Linked DNA regions of Schizosaccharomyces pombe. The main gene of each other region encodes a partner of the protein of the gene in region 4 in a complex. Each region holds a gene or a part of one and is shown on either strand. Other genes may lie near its edges. The genes, in order: ssl1, rad15, tfb2 and tfb5.

Region 1 (4,024 bases), on a different chromosome or scaffold from region 4:
CACGTGGTCAATGGGGAAACTGGGTGGTGCAACACATGGTAGAAAACGGACAAGGAGAGGATTTGAAAAGAGTCATTGATGCATTATTGAATCGTGCAGTGGAATTTAGTATTGACCAATTTGCCTCTAAGGTCATTGAAAAAGCAATTAAGTCTGGCCCAAAAAATTTCATTTCCTTATATCTAAAACAAATTACAAACGCGAGAGTTGACCGAACAAGGCAGCCTTTAATCGATATTGCATCTGATCAGTATGGCAACTATTTAATTCAGCAAATAATTCAACTTGGTCAACCAGCTGAGAAAAACCTTGTCATTACGCATATAAAAAAGCACATGGTTTCTCTTCGGGGAAGCAAGTACGGTCAGAAGGTTGCTTATTTAGTCGAGAAATGGAATTCTCAAAAACAGGTTTCCTCTGTAATCAACTACAACTGCAATACTGACCTCTGATCTGTAAATATAGGGATATATTCATTTCCACATTTTAATTAGTTTTTATTTTATATATGATACAGCTCTAACACTTACTGAAGCATCAATAGATCAAATTTTCACTATCTTCCGGATAAGGTAGTTAAGCAACGATCTCTTTAAATAAGTAAATTGAAATATATATCTCTTTACATATTTGTGAATAAGTAGCATAATAGTATTTTAAAATAATTATTATAAATAAATGCGTTCATTAATATACCAAAAGAAACTTTAATTTCCGGAGCATTGGCATCCATAACACTCATGAAGTTGTTCATGCGCAAAAACATCGCAATCCAAACAAAAATGATTTTTACACGAGGGACATGCATACCGCATCGATGAAGTAGATTCGTCAAACGGTGAAACCGGCGGCTTCGGAAAAGGTAACTGACACGCAAAGCAATGAGTGGACTTTGGATTTGCGGACCAAGGAATTTCGCTCCAGTTTTTCAATGGAAACAAATGATGATAAGATCGAGCAAGATGTGTTGAAAGGATTAGAACGAGAGAACAACTAGGGCATTCGATCGGTAAAGTACAAACTTTTGCTTTACAACGAGGACAATGAAACCCACCACGAGACGGAATTGAATGGCAAGCACAAAGACTTGGCAATTGCTCAACGACCTTAGAAGGAAATCCCATCATTACCAAAGAAGCATCAGTGGTTTTAGCCGAATCAGTAGCAGGAGGTATTGTGCTTTCGAGTAGAAGTTCGCGAAAATGTTGTTCACTGATGACTACGCCGTAGGCATTTTTCGTAGATGAGTTAGTTTTATTACAAATTTCTTTACAAATGGCGACTTCAGCAGCCAAACCAACGATACGGACACGAATAGAATCATGAACCAGAGCATCAATCGTCTTGAAAATGTCGCCAGGGTCTGATGATAAGATGGAACCAAAAATGATAAGGACTTCTCTAGTGCCATGGGAAGCAATGTGTGATAAAGAAGCTCTAGCCATTTCGAGAGCATTTTGAAGAGAGAAGTTTCCACTACAATCTCGAAGAGATTTAAGCTTCTGAATATGCGATTGAGGATTCCCATGCAAATCAGTTATCCGATGAGCGATTCCATCCATTACGCCTATAATCGATAATTGGGAAATAGGATTTTGTTCAAAAAACTCAAGAACAAATTCAGAAGCATACTTTATCTGAAGGTCGAACCGCTTATGATGAAAATCACGCTCCTCCATAGAGTTGCTCAAATCTAACACCAAGACCATGTGTCTAATAATACCTCGTTGTAACGGAGTTGTATCTCTAAGAAGTCTAAATCAGATTGACAAGTTAGTATACCGTTCATCGATGCTATAAAAGACTAATATGTTTCCAAATGCCCAACATAGGCAACTAACAAACAAATGAAGAACATAAGAAAACCAATTTTGATACGCCATACCTTTTACGTTTCCCGCTTTGAATAAGCCCAGCGATAACGCCTACTAAACTACCCTCTGCGTCCTCCTGTACGATATCCCAAGAACGCTGATATTCACCTTCCCAAGTATAACCCTCATTATCGTCAGTTTTCCTGCTTCTTACTTTAACTCTTCCATTTTTTTGTTCATCCTCGCTTTCCGACTTGTCAGAGTCAAAACTTTTTTGGTTCTCATTCATTGAGTGTTATTTTAACCGAGCATAGGTATTATGCCAGAACGCTATTTGATAATTAGATAAATGAATATTGCACAAATTCTATTCCTTGGTTTCTACAGACTAAAGAACTCAAAGCGAATGTATTTCTTCAAGTCACGTTTTACCCAGTGAACTTTTGGTAATTTGAATAGTCGCGTCGAGTTGCTTTACATGCAATGAGCGAAAGTTCTTTCTTTTATTATTTTTAGTTTTATTTTTTTAAAAAGCAATGACTCCTGGGCATACCAGTAAAATGGTAAGACTAAGTAAGTACTAGAACAAGAGACCATTTACACGAAGACAATACGGACAAGGAGCGCAACCATTATTTGTTAAATATAATAATGAATTTCGTTATGCTGCGTTAATTCGTGTTTATCAGTCTTTGATTTGTGATATGAAATTTGTATACAACTATTTCTGTTATTTGAAAAAACTTAGGAAATTATGAAAGTAAAAGAAGAATATAAAATAAATCTGTACTCCTCATTCTTTAAGGATGAGTTATATATCGTATTTTATAAAATTATTTATGGCTCGGTTATTTGTACAAACTGCATATTGCAATATAGTAGAGACTTAGAAATTTGCAAACTGCGTAATTGCCAATATTTTATGTAAAGCTACAAGTGATATGGACATAAGAAGAATAATTACTTTTCGCTTAGGCTGAATGTTGGATGGTTTGCAGGACGAAAGAGTTCATTTAATTGATTTTCTCGAACAGAAATTGGCTACTGACTAGGAATTGCGAAATCGCATTGTTTAAGAAGTTCTCGTTCTACTCCAAGGTCGATTTTTTCGTTTTTATTTGTCTTAGAAACAAATTTCAACTTATATTTGCTGTATATACTGGTTTTTAAAACTCCAAAACTTGAGAATGATGAATGGAATCCTTATTTCGTATATATCCAACAAAAAAAAAGGTTAAATCACTACTTTGCATCTTTTGAGTAATGTCTTAATTGAACAATTTTTTAAGTCGCAAATCTTACAAAGTCACAATTAAGGATTGTATATCAATTTGGTAAAACAATAAAGAGGATGATTAATCTATAATTGACAACAGATTCATTAGTTAAATGAATTTTCCTAGCACCACAAATACACATCGTGTTTGCTCTATAACAGAGACAAAAATAGTGATGACTGTCATCGAAAATGATTAAGTGATGATGCATATAAGATAATAATACAAGGAATAGAAATAAAGGAGAAAAGTGACTTTTGCAAGAAAGTAAGAAAATTAGTGATGAAATAAAAAAAACCCTCGCAACTGTTGGCAGCCCCTTGATTTTTTTCTCTAGCCATGACTTTTAGTTGCTGCCCGATTCTACATCTTTAGAAGTGTTGCAATCGGTTTCCTCAGCCATTGTATTGTCACTTGCTGGCTCTGTGGTAATTGCTTGGCCTCGCATAGACGACATTTCAACGTCGCCAGTCTCTTCATCTTGTTCTATTACTTCGAGCCCGAGAATAAACAACAGTAAGGATAAAATAATATGAGCCAAACCTTGAATTGCTTTAGCTACATATTTAGCTAGGCCTGCAATCGCTTTAGCTAGACCTTCATTCGCTTTAGCTACAGACGGTGCATAAACATAAGCTTCTTCAAACGCTAATTTAATTAACGAAAATGAAACTAGAAAATCGTTAGTCATGAATTCAAATCATCTCAAAAACTTACAATAAACAATAATCACTGTCATCACGTATGTAAATATTAACACTATAGTTTCAATAACATATTTAACCACAGAATTAAGATCCGCCAATGCCTGATCGAAATAATTATAAAAATTATGATAAAGCAATAAAGTAAGAATGAAAGGAAGGAAGATATGAAATATCGCATATCTAGCTTGTGTAAGTCGCACATTTTCCGAACGCTTTCTTAATCTAG
Region 2 (5,599 bases), on a different chromosome or scaffold from region 4:
TCAACACAAGACCTTTTGGATTTCGACGTCGTTTAAACATTTCTAGCTATTGGCCAAATTCTCAAAGAAACCTGTATCGAAGATTATATCATTTAAGATACTATTAAAGTTGCTTCTTTTTCTGTAATTTGACAGCTGACTGTATTCAATAAGTTACTTTGCTAATCAAAGATACAAAGCAGTAGTTATGACAGGATTCTGACTACCCCAACGTGACTAGAGACAACCCTTGCAATAAGCTACACTTATTTTTTTTTCTATATTTAAGAATTCCTGAAAGCGGTATCCTTTTTGTGCTAGAGTAATTTTTTTATACAGTAGTTTGGTAAAGAAACCATCATTGATCTTATATGTGCTTGGCAATTACGTATAAGCCAACCGTGAATCCGTAAAACCAAAAGATTTTTTATTTTCAAGAAATTTATATATTACATAGAATACAGCAATGAATCAGTTGTACAACCCCAAAACGTTCATTTATTTAGAACTAAGTATGGGAGACTAATTTTATCGACATAAAACTATCAAGGAAATTTTTTAGATTATGAGAATATATTATGAATATGTAAACTTTTGTTTTATGTATCTAAATGATAAACAGATGTTTTGTTTATATAACTAGGCTTACAATTACTGCATCACGTATTTTAACTAGCTCGCTTAATGTAAGCTTAATTTCCATAGCAGCATGAAATTGCCAATAATCACTCTTTGAAACGCTGGATTGTTATTGATGGGATGGAAAATTTAAGAAGCATTACAACAACTGAAACCGATTTTATTTGAACACAGTCTCTAAAAAAATTTTAAAGTACTTCGAATTTAGCGACTCGCAAATTAATTGCCAACTGAGTGTAAATAATATTTTTTCTCTGCTCTGCGATCTTAAAACAATTCGTAAGTAGCATGCGTATCGTGATGACGATTGAAATGTCCACTATACAACTCTCGAATACAAGTTGATACATACATTGTCCACACCTACAAAAAAGTTAGCCATTCGCTTCCAAATATCTTCATCGCTGTGTTCATGAGTTTTGGATTGCCTTAGTAAAGATGATTAGAATCAAAGTATTTTACAAATGGCTTCTATTAAGTTTCAACCACATCAATATCCATCTCATCCTCATGTTTGGATTGTTCTATAGCCGCAGACTTCAATGCTTTCTTCTGATGAATCAACAAATCATCAAGACTCCACCAAGAAATCCCTTCCTGATCAGACGCAGTGAAAGGCTGTGCCATAGTTCGTAAAAATTTTTTCGCCAAAGCGAGGGACATATCAGTGCTTAAATTTGTAGCGCCTTCGGTTATATACTGTTGAATCCATTTAGGTAATTTTGTACGCTTATCAGACCGACCATATCGTTTATCTGCTAACACCATAATTCCATGATCATCTTTTCCACGCAAAACGCGACCTAAACATTGGGCAGCATGCCGCATGGCATCAAATGTTAAGAAATCTGCTTCCCGAATTTGATACGTATCCCTCAGAAATTCTAACCGTGCTTTTAAAACACGACTCTCAGTATACTGATACGGAATACCAAACATGATTACTGCTCTACCATAATGATGATCAAAATCCACTCCTTCTGAGACTTTTCCTCTAGCGACTGACAGCAATACTGCTCCACGGCCATTGCTGCAAGCAGCCCGGTAAGTCTCTAAGGCGAGAGTTGTTTCATGAGGATCTGGTGTTTCCACCAAAATCAACTTATACTTCCAGACTTCATCTAGAATACCCATACTTTGCCAACTAGAAACAATACTTTCAAGGTAGAGATAACTTGGAAAAAATGCGACTAAGCCATCAGGTGTAATTTTCGAAAACTCAACCAGTATATTACCGTAATTGCGAACAACACTAGGATCATTACGGGCTTCAAATTTTGAAGAAATAGCTACTTGATCGCTACCCCGAGTAACTACCATAGGAAGGAAACAGTTTCGTGCAAGTGACATTCCATACGATTCCTGCATAACAGTATTAAACTGCAACATCTTGGGGTACATATCGAGGGGGGATAAAGTACCACTCGTGATAATCACAGACCTAAATCTTTCGAAAACTGGTTTAATAGCTATTGAGGCGTCAAGACAGGAAAACCGCAATATTGGATTGGGAACTGTAGCATTTTCTGTTTCAAAGGGTTCCAAAATTAGGATAAATCCACGCTCATAAGTAGCAACAAGGGTCGCAAAAGCTACTACTTGCTGCAAAGAATGAAAATCTTCAACTAGTGAAATTTGTAAGGCACGAACAAGACTAGTGAGTCGCTCAGCGCAAAACCGAAGCGGCTTTTTGTCTATAAATGTAATGTCTTTAACATGTTGCAAAAAAGAAGTTGGTGTTTCAGCAATAACGTGCAAAACTTTCATCCTTGTTTTTAAATATTCTACAAAACGCTTCAAAAATGCAATAAAATGTTCGGCTCGTCGAATATTTCCAGGAACAGCTTCCTTTAAAACATCCTCAGGCAAAACGGGATTCGCCATAAACTGGTCTTCGTCATTTGCGGCATTAGCATCTTGAAGGCCCCGAACAAGCTTTTGGTATTCATCCTGAAGTTTTTTTGAGTCAGACTGTTTTACTTCGTTGACTTTTTGCTCAAGAGACAAAATGCTCTTCGAAGCTTTTCTCAAAGAAGATTCTGTCAAATCAATACTTAAAGACTCAATACACACATTGTCAATATTGTGTGCTTCATCAAAAACAACAATGCAATCTTTACTGAGTTCTCGAGAAACTCGTTCAGCAATTTTGGGGTCTAGTAAATAATGATACGAATAAATAATAACATTACAAAACGGTAGCATACGACGTACAGTAAAATAGGGGCATCGTGTAGTTTTTTCGCCGTATTCTGTGATATCATCAAGGGTCCAAACACCGTTAGATATAAGGCTGTGTGGCTCAAGATCTTCCAAATTGTCGTGGAACTCACAAGTAGGAACATCCATACCAGCCAATCTTTGCTCCCGCACAAAACCCGCCGTAAGTGAGCGACAACGGGCATCTACCACATTCCCATTTTTTTCACGACGAACAGAAGGGTGTAAACATAAATTTTTGCGACTGGTTAGTCCGAGACCCAAAAATGGTTCTTCATATCCTAACTGTGAAGTCCGATACGCCATTAAACGCTTCAATTCAGCTAATGCTTTATCAATTTCCGACATGGTACGTGAACAATAGATGAGCTTGCGATGCTCAGGATAATGTTGTTGATATGAAACAATAAGGGACAAAAGAGAAATGGTCTTTCCAGTACCCGAAGGCATTTCTAAGAGCGCAATGCCTCCCGCATCCAAAGAATGTTTCAAATCACACATATACTGATACTGCTCGGGATAGATGCGTGGATAAGGAAACAGAATAGGTAGATCGTCAATATAGAACTTCATTATGGGTGTAATCCGTTGACTTTGAGGAAATTAATTTGAGTATATGACAGCCTATTGGACCAAAAAAAAATTTAGGAATTAAATAATAAGATAAAAAGTTGAAACAAAAGAATTATGAACTAGCATTGATGAATAATAGTGGGTAAAGATCGCTTAACAATCGCTTCATAAAAATGAAATGAATAAAGCGAGAAATAAATTTTTATGGGTATTATAAGAATGAGGTAGGTTCTGCTTTGGTTCAATATTTAGTCGTCAATCACTGATACACAAATATGAATAAGTTCACAAAGATAAATAAATAAACATGGGATGGAAGAGGGTAAAACAAAACGAACCAAGAAATAATTCTGACCTAAGGTTTAAGTGAGCTACTTTACAGTGAGAATCTCAGGAGAAACTACTTGTCGATCCAAGCTTAAAGAATGAGTCCTGAAATTAACAGTGGCTGCTTTATATTTGTAGTGCATATAGAACTGGATTATGAAGAACGCTGAGTTGGTACGGTAAACATTTATAAGCAAAATACTGTAAAGTACGTTAAATTGGATAATATTCGTAAATACATGGTGTACATACAACTATACATTGATGGAAATGACATGGTTAATGGAAGATGCAATTGCTTAATAAATACTAGTTTATTGGAAAAAAAATTCGTATTTTCGTAGTTACCGAGCATAAGCGCTACTTTGTTTTCTGAAAACAAGTTTCCGCAATACTACTCCTAAATAAACACAAGGCAAAAAGAATACATTTGCAATATTCCATTTATTTTGTTTTACAAGTCAATTCCCGACTCTGTAGACAAGTGAAAAAGGGCAAACTCACATATAGCTGCTGAATCATTTGCAAACTAATAACCGCTTATTCAAGCTTAATGAATATTATTCTAAAGAGGGAAAAACAAATACATACGTATCAGGATAAAAAATAAAAGGAATTAGAATCGCCAGGTGAGCAATAAACAGCAAGTCACCGAAGAGTTATCTTCTTGAAATCATACAGAATACTATATCAACAGTTTTTGAAATGAATGAAGTGGTTTTTTATTATCCCGTAATCACCGGTTAGTACAGTTTACCGGTTTTAATGACATTCCGTATGTTGAGGAGACAATACGGATTGATTTGCCTGTTCACTTATGTGTAGATGATAAGGAAAAGTGCTTTATCAATTTTTCACGAATTATGAAACCCATCAGCAATCATGTTTAATGAAAACATACCCAAGGTTGACATCAAGCAAATCAGCAGATCGTCAAAACTGTTACGTTTTATTTTACCTAATGTCTCTTGGCAATCTCTATCAATCATCGATGACAAGTATTGTGAAAGATGAAAGATGATTAGTAATGATCAATCTTGATATTTTAAAAATCTCTCCCATTCACTAATTTCTGGCTAATTAATTAACTCACTACACATCTAGTATATCGACGAGTATCCGGCTTTCGGGTATAAAAGAAGAGCATGAAATTCCACGAAAACAAACTTAACGAATCATTCATTAGCGATGCTACAAAACAATATACTGTTGGAGTTTGCCGCTCGGTAACAAGAAAATGGCATTCATAACAACGACCCATTCCAACCGTAATGGGCCATACTGAGTTTTTCTGTGGTTACTCAAAATCGTTGATCAAATTCATGGTAGCTGTTTCTTGATTCACTTTTACTCGGGACTTGTAAAGCCGATTTTCGGAAAAGTGTGATGAATAAATGACGCTGTCGGAAACAACTGGTATTTTTGGGTTGGCGAGTAGGTTATTTTCTACAAAACATACAAATAATACAATACATTGCTAGCAAAATCAATAGTGCATATATAGTACTAATAACAAAGAGTATTTAAAAAACAACATATCGATTTAGCAGAAAAAAATGGGAAGGAAGGTATTGAAATAGAGGATAGATGGCATGGCTCATTAAATGTAGGAAACCAAAGTAAGGATGACTGGTTTGAGATTATTTCCTTACATCCCGTAACATGCAAAAAAATGCAGCAATTTAACACGGTGGAGGGAAAGTATCGAATTTTTTTACTGGTAAATGTAATATATTGGATTGAAACAACTCCGCTTGCCATTATTAAATAAAAAATAATTCTTTTCGTTAACTAAAAAGTGAAATCAAAATTAATTTAAAAAAAAAGAAAAGTTAAAGGAATACTATGCTACCAATATTTC
Region 3 (4,087 bases), 940 kb from region 4:
ACCACTTTGTAAAAAAGTTTGATTCATATCTATTGACACGCCAGAAATAAAAAGCCCTCGACTGGCCAATGCTAAACTTCCTCCCAAATCAGTGAGTGCTGCAATACAACCGCCATGCAAATTACCCATACGATTTAGGTGATGCTTCTGCAGTTTCAGAGAGCATTCTACAAATCCTGGAACTGCACTTATAATTTGTATATCACTGACTACATGAGCATCAAACCCATTGGTATTTACAAAATCCTGCCAAACAGAACGAACGAAAGAAAGCACCTTAGTACCAGAGCTATTAATTGCCATTGTGTCTTAAAACTTCGTTTAACAGGTATCAATCACTGTAAAAGTAAGTACCTCAGGTGAATTGGTTATGTTGTGGCAGTTCTTGGCTACTCGCAGCAGCGATACTTGTAGTTAGTAAGGATTTACAAGCCATTTGCCTGCCTATAGTAATATCACCAAATCATTATTACAAATGGTAATATAATTAAATGAACATTAAATACAAGAATATGAATATTGTTTGGATTATTCAAATAACGGATATTTTTTTTTTCTAATGACGAGAAGAAGAAATTCATAATTTGAACGTTAAAGAGTTGCATCATTAAAACTTGAATTTCGTATAAATATCCAACACGCGTATAGTTAACATGGCTAATGTTGAGCTTATGTTATATATATGTTTATTGACACCAGTAAATTACTTACAAGTGATTTGAGATTAATTTAATATTTTCTAATTACCACTTCTCTTTTGAACCATCCAAAAAATATTCATTTGACAGCTCGTCTTTTCAAGTATGCGATCATGGGCTGGGCGCCTGTCGTAGTTATGAAAAACATTCTTTTCAAGGAACTGTCCCAAACCAAAACCCCGAGTTCTTTTGCGTACTCTACTGCTTGGTCGAAGCCAGAATCAGTAAGAAAATCGCGAAACAAAATTCCAGGAGTAGCCCGAAGTCTATTTTTTTCCAATTCCCATAAATAAATTTGATCTACTAATGTAGGAGGTAAAAGAGGAACATTCGATCTCATCTGAGGGTGAGCATGAGTTGTCAAGTATGTAATAATTTGCTCCGCTGCAATTCCATTCATCAAAGCACGACGAATACTATCCCGAGTTATCACACCGACAACAAGATTTGAAAAACGCGCCCTTAAGTTAGCAAACAATCCGATGATGGCAATCTGTAATGGGGAGCTTGTGTAAGCATATAATCGGTAATTTGTTTCTACAATAATAAAACCTTTATCATCATCATTTTCACTTTGCTTTCCATGCAATGAGCGATAATCAGTTGTCAGACCTGTTGCCAGTCTGGTTGGATAGAAACGCTTGGAAGTAATTTTTCTTTGATAAACTAATCCATATTCTCTTAGGTCTTCAAGCATGATTTGTTGTGTATCTGTTAAGAAGTCCACTGAGTATGCCCTCCCCAAATCCAAACTTCCAAGCATAAATAAAAAGTGCAAAACCTGAACAGGATCCATATGCGTGTCTTCAGATAGTTTTAAATAATCCAAAAGTAACGTCCAAATTTGAGCATTTATATCCTGTAACAGAAACTGAAAACCGGCACGGGTAATACGTAGCTGGTTTTTTGGACCAGACATTAAACCGCCCCGCTTTAATAGACTTAAGACACCTTCTCCAGGAAATTTAGCTTCCGGAGTTCCTACCATGAAGTGCAAGATTGTTTCCCAAGTTTCTTTCGCATATGCGTCAAGAAAATCAACCGTCACCAAGTGCTTGTCTTCATCGGTACATGGCACGCCAAACGAATTGTGATTTCCTCTAAAAAGCTTAATTAGTTTATACTCAAAATTCAATAAAACTTACCCTCCAGTCAGAGCAGTTATAAATTGTTTGCGAAATTCACTATTTAGAGTGATATATTGTCCATCAAATTGAAATATATGCATCCTAACCAGTTTGTTGAAGGATTCAGATTGATAAACTTTACTCGAAAGTTTGATCCATAAATCGAAATCTGAGAGTGCTACTGGCATAGGATTGAAAAGCATAGACATGACATACTGTCTAGCTAGAATTGGCAATAAACGAAACACAGCAAGACAAGCAGCTGGCTTTTGGTAAAGCCTTGCATGATTTGGTAACTGTTCCAGGAAGTCGTTGATACTAGACTTGAATTCTGCTTGCATGGTGACAATTTGCGAACCTACTTCAAAAGGTTTAAATTGGCGGTTGTAATCTCTCTTTATTCAGCTGAATAGAACAAAATCCAGTGTACTCAACTAATAAACTTATTTACGATTATCAATCTTCCATAAATGCCAGATAAGCAATCATCGCGAGACCGAAGGTGGATGGTGATCAAGAGCGAGTCGAATTACTGGTATTAAATAGGCTAGAATAACAAGCCAAAGCTTCCGACAATGACAATAACAATTTTTTTTTGCTGATAATTACATTAACCTGTGTACATATTTATTACAATTCAAACTTTTATGCCCAAGTTGCGAATTGTCGTGATTAGATAAAAACATATAAACAATCATTCATACTTAAGTTTTAAATAAAGTCAGTTTTAAAAAAAAAAAGATTTGTTTTAAATGTTCTGAATATTTACAGTTACGTTAAATATTTACTGTACTATTACTTATTTAGACCATTAGAGATGCATGCTTGGTTGAAATAAACCGCGGGATAAATGACCCTCGAGAGAAAAATAATTTGTTTTTCAAATATCAGTGAAAAACATATAAATCCTTAATCATCTAATTAACTTCTTCCGTATCAGCTGAATAAATTGTGCGTAATTAAACTCTTTCATTTATGCAGCAAAAAAATTTTGTTATTTGGACTGGAATTATACATCAAGACCTTAAAGCACGTAAACGTTCTTGTAAGTTGTCATCTTCTACAGGAGCGGCGGGAGTAGGAACACTGGCAGCAGGAACCGAAAGATTATTGTTCATATTCTGGTTAAATTCCAAACCAGCTTCATCAGCTACCGTTTGCATTAATAAATCTACATCTTCTTGGGGTGTATCGACAGCAGTCACTGATCCCATAGCCTTATATAGTGTTAGTTCTAGTCTTGAAATATGATTAATCAAGGAAACTTACCTTATTCATATAACCCGTTTGAACATTAACATCATCGAATTGCGCTTCAAATTTATCCATGACTTGTGAAATCTGTGGGTCAGAAACATTTGAAAAAAAACTCATTCTACGAGAATTAGGAACTCACCATCTCCAAATTCATTGTTTTCATAGCTCTGTCCATTCCCCGAACGACACCTGCCATATTTCCCGACACCTAAATAGTCAATAAGTATGCCACGTTAAATTGCTAACATACAGCACGCATAGTTACAGCAGTCTGTAAACGACTTGAAACCGCATCTATTCTTGAAGAAAGTTTGAGCAAATTAAGGGATTCTTGCTGCTTCCGAATTGCATTCGATGCATATATGCGGGCAATTTCTGAGTTGCCTTTTGTGATAGCCTAGGTAATAACAGTTAGTAATGAATAACGCCAAAAAGTAAAAAAAAATTTTTATCTAGCAAATCATATGAAGATGGAATAATCGACAAAACCAAGACTCTGCAAAACCACCAAGAATTACAATAGCAATTGATAGATGAGCTGTAAAAAAATTCATTGATAGTGACATGCTTGGAAATAGCAATCATTACAACAAACAAACCTTTTTCACTTTTTCCCGTTCAGCACGCTCCTCTTTCGCAGCTTTAAGTGATTGTTTATTCAGCGACTTTGCAGCAAACTAACGCATTGTTAAAAACAAACTTCAATTAAGAAAATACCTTTAATTGAAACAGAGATGCTTTCAGGTTAATCAATTATCAAAAAAATTACTTACTTACCCTCTAAATTGCTCATTTTGTTTGTAAAGGTAAGCTAGCTGTATAATGCTAATTCTATTGATTGAGCGTCTGCTAGTAAGGCTGATGATTTTTAGAACTTCTTAATACATTACTCGTAATGCATTTTAACAAAATTAAACAACTTCACTAAGGAAGATAGTGGGGTCTAAAATTGACAGTATCTTAGTTTATGATAGCGTAAACACCATAAACAAAAGAATATAATTA
Region 4 (3,117 bases):
AAGTTGTTATAGTTTCTTTTAAGAAAGGCACACAGGGGAAAAAGCATGCCTCTGGATATTTTTAATTCCTTTGTTGCCTTCCTGCTGTCTTTTACATACAGTGTTTATTAACTCTTTTAGCTTGTCTATTTTATATTTTCCGTGGTAACCTTTCTCAGTTGCATCTTTATGGCTACTAGTCTTATTGCCACCGGCATTGTGCTCGCTCTTACTGGTTTATGTTACACCTTTGCCGGTATTAAAGGTCAGGCTTTTACTTCAAGTTCCACGCTTGGTGGAACAGGTATCACGACCGAAACACCTCCCAGCACTATGGTTTAGAATATGCAAAATTGATCTTTATTGATCTTTTTCCTTGTTCATTTGTTTATAGGACAAGCATGAAACTATGCCTTTTCCTTGTTGTATGTTCTTCCAGTTCCCGGTGTTGAAAAAGTTATCACGCGTATGAACTGAACTATCTTTCTAGAAACACCACCAAGTTTCAATTAGGAATGCATAAAAATATCGTTAGACAAAGAAGAACATTTCTCTTATTATACATATTAATTATATAGATAGTATAGTATATTCAAATAGTATAAACTTTCATTCAATACTAAAAATTAAATAAAGACTTGCAAGCAACTACTGAATAGCTCGGCGTAGTTAACAATATATTCAAAACTTATTTTCAAAAAATACAAAATCAGCTGGCTCCTTTCATAATTTTTGCCCATCGGTACACGAGTTTTGGGTACTGTTATGTAATTTGACACAAACGTCAAGTCATTAAAAAATAAACCAACCTTTTCACCCATATCCAAATAAAAGGTAGAATTAATTTCTTTTTTGCATTATTTTAAAATTTTTTTACAATTTAAAATTGAGAAAATGATCATAGATCGTTGACATTGAATGATCCATTAATCGTACAATATTAGGTTCGTCCATCGACTGAAACATTCAGTTCATCATCCAAAGAAAACTTTCGTCATACTAATCTCTTCTTACTCTTCAACTTGATATGTATTTTCCTCAAGGCGTCGTTCTAACTCTGCTTTCACCTGTTCTAGTCGACTTTCATTTACTAACAATCGTTCTTCATCGATCTCTTCGATAACGATACCAGGAGACTGTTCGTCCATGTTCAAAATCAATTGCTTAACGGTTGGGTCACATTCAACCAAGAGTAAGCCTTTTTGTGCGCGTGGCATTGCCTCAAATTTGGTGTCTGCCAGCAGAATCATGGCATGCTACAAGCTCCTTAAGCCACAGGTATCAAGTTACCCATGATCGTTGGATGCCGAATGTAAGAGCAAACAAGAATAAATATCATGCAAGTTTGTTGTGTTAAAGATGGTAATGAATTTGATTATTATGATTATATGCAAAAACAAATTATTTATATGAATAAAACAAGTTGAGGTATTTGAGATCAGCAAAAATTGAAAAAATGATATGACCATTTCGGAAACCTTTTGCTACCATTGCTCATTCCATCCAGCCTCATACTTTTGTCTTAACGGACATATGTATTTTTAGATTGACAATAAACATTTTCGTTTTTGTTGATTAACATGTAATCATGTGATGCGCTAGTAGCGTACACAACTAACATAGCGATGAATTGTTTGTACTTTACAGTGGGTAAAAATTTTTAAATTACAAAACCGACTTCGGTTTGAATAAAGTCTAAAGTGTGCATTGGGAGATCAACTAGTTCTCGGGATGCAGACGGAAAAACAGTAAAACAAGCTCTTCGCGGTACAAGTGAAAAAGATCAAAACGGGCGTTCATGCTTAAGTGCATCTTCATATTAAACTTAAGCTAGCGAAATGGGGGACAGTGGATGCCTCCTACCTAAATCCATCAGTAAAGTAACACCGTCCCCACAAATGCGACTCACCACCAAAGCAATAATATATAGTATAAATAAGACTTTGACATAATATCCTACAAGGAAACTGACAAAAAAAAATTCACTTAAGTTGACCAAATGAAAAAGAGATTACACAAGACTACAAAAGAAGATCATTTACAAAAGGAGACAGGCAAACTATACGTATCACAAACCAAAACGAAAAAAAGTATTTATCAAAATCATAAAATTTATTTATAAGTATTTATAAGTTCAAAAACAAACGCTCAGCCATCTCATCACTGCAACAAAATTAAAAAAAATATATGCAACAATGAATGAGAAGGAGGGTATCAAAGAACAGAGGAAATTTGTAAAAAAGTCATCCATCTATTTATTCACATAGAGTGCGCGTCCACAAAAAAAATGCGAAAATCTAAAAAAGAAAACTCCCGCACTGCAAACGACAACGACTCCTTTGTCTAACATAAAGAAAAAACGGGGAAAACAACTCCAAAAGACTTTCCTGCATTGCCTTTAAGCACCCACCCGACGTTTCTTAGCATCGGGATGATTAGCTAGTTAGTTGTCCTTGGCGGCAGTGTAGGCAACCAAGTCAACGACACGGCGGGAGTAACCCCATTCGTTATCGTACCAAGAGACGAGCTTGACGAATTGAGGAGAAAGTTGGATACCGGCAGAGGCATCGAAGATGGAGGAGTGGTTGTCACCGCAGAAGTCAGTGGAGACAACAGCGTCCTCGGTGTAACCCAACACACCCTTCATGGGGCCCTCAGAGGCAGCCTTGATGGCGGCCTTGATGTCCTCGTAGTTGGTAGGCTTGGCCAACTTGACGGTCAAGTCAACAACGGAAACATCGGGGGTAGGGACACGGAAAGCCATACCGGTAAGCTTACCGTTAAGAGCGGGAATAACCTTACCGACGGCCTTGGCGGCACCAGTGGAGGAGGGGATGATGTTGGCGCTGGCGCCACGACCACCACGCCAGTCCTTCTTGGAGGGACCGTCAACGGTCTTTTGGGTGGCAGTGGTAGCGTGGACAGTGGTCATGAGACCCTCCTCGATACCGAAGGTGTCGTTGATGACCTTGGCAAGGGGAGCCAAACAGTTGGTGGTGCAAGAAGCGTTGGAGATAACCTTCTCAGAGGGGTTGAACTTCTCCTCGTTGACACCGACAACGTACATGGGGGCGTCCTTGGAAGGAGCAGAGATGATGACACGCTTGGCACCACCCTTCAAGTGAGCAGAGGCAGTCT

Evidence for each region.
Region 1: tfb5 (region 4) and ssl1 share a complex: the UniProt entries of both Schizosaccharomyces pombe proteins name them as parts of the 7-subunit TFIIH core complex.
Region 2: tfb5 (region 4) and rad15 share a complex: the UniProt entries of both Schizosaccharomyces pombe proteins name them as parts of the 7-subunit TFIIH core complex.
Region 3: tfb5 (region 4) and tfb2 share a complex: the UniProt entries of both Schizosaccharomyces pombe proteins name them as parts of the 7-subunit TFIIH core complex.

The regions. Positions count from the first base shown.
Region 1 is NC_003421.2:382,552-386,575, reverse strand, and holds ssl1 (transcription factor TFIIH complex subunit Ssl1), read right to left. Parts: upstream 2,386-4,024; 5' UTR 2,104-2,385; coding exon 1,886-2,103; exon of another isoform or gene 1,756-1,885; coding exon 708-1,755; 3' UTR 529-707; downstream 1-528. Other genes in the region: meiotic pumilio family RNA-binding protein Mpf2, read left to right, coding at 1-452; SPOM_SPCC1682.06 (uncharacterized protein), read right to left, coding at 3,438-3,763, 3,809-4,024. UniProt on the Schizosaccharomyces pombe protein: Component of the general transcription and DNA repair factor IIH (TFIIH) core complex, which is involved in general and transcription-coupled nucleotide excision repair (NER) of damaged DNA and, when complexed to TFIIK, in RNA transcription by RNA polymerase II.
Region 2 is NC_003424.3:662,594-668,192, reverse strand, and holds rad15 (transcription factor TFIIH complex subunit Rad15 ), read right to left. Parts: upstream 3,846-5,599; 5' UTR 3,412-3,845; coding exon 1,093-3,411; 3' UTR 546-1,092; downstream 1-545. Other genes in the region: MAP kinase kinase Byr1, read right to left, coding at 1-40. UniProt on the Schizosaccharomyces pombe protein: ATP-dependent 5'-3' DNA helicase, component of the general transcription and DNA repair factor IIH (TFIIH) core complex, which is involved in general and transcription-coupled nucleotide excision repair (NER) of damaged DNA and, when complexed to TFIIK, in RNA transcription by RNA polymerase II.
Region 3 is NC_003423.3:3,752,149-3,756,235, reverse strand, and holds tfb2 (transcription factor TFIIH complex subunit Tfb2), read right to left. Parts: upstream 2,337-4,087; 5' UTR 2,167-2,336; coding exon 1,844-2,166; intron 1,799-1,843; coding exon 778-1,798; 3' UTR 519-777; downstream 1-518. Other genes in the region: the13 (acyl-CoA thioesterase), read right to left, coding at 1-303; ESCRT III complex subunit Did2, read right to left, coding at 2,842-3,042, 3,095-3,166, 3,222-3,290, 3,333-3,479, 3,682-3,759, 3,800-3,819, 3,860-3,875. UniProt on the Schizosaccharomyces pombe protein: Component of the general transcription and DNA repair factor IIH (TFIIH) core complex, which is involved in general and transcription-coupled nucleotide excision repair (NER) of damaged DNA and, when complexed to TFIIK, in RNA transcription by RNA polymerase II.
Region 4 is NC_003423.3:2,807,953-2,811,069, reverse strand, and holds tfb5 (transcription factor TFIIH complex subunit Tfb5), read right to left. Parts: upstream 1,197-3,117; coding exon 990-1,196; 3' UTR 531-989; downstream 1-530. Other genes in the region: SPOM_SPBC32F12.12C (golgi membrane protein involved in vesicle-mediated transport), read left to right, coding at 121-321; glyceraldehyde-3-phosphate dehydrogenase Tdh1, read right to left, coding at 2,423-3,117. UniProt on the Schizosaccharomyces pombe protein: Component of the general transcription and DNA repair factor IIH (TFIIH) core complex, which is involved in general and transcription-coupled nucleotide excision repair (NER) of damaged DNA and, when complexed to TFIIK, in RNA transcription by RNA polymerase II.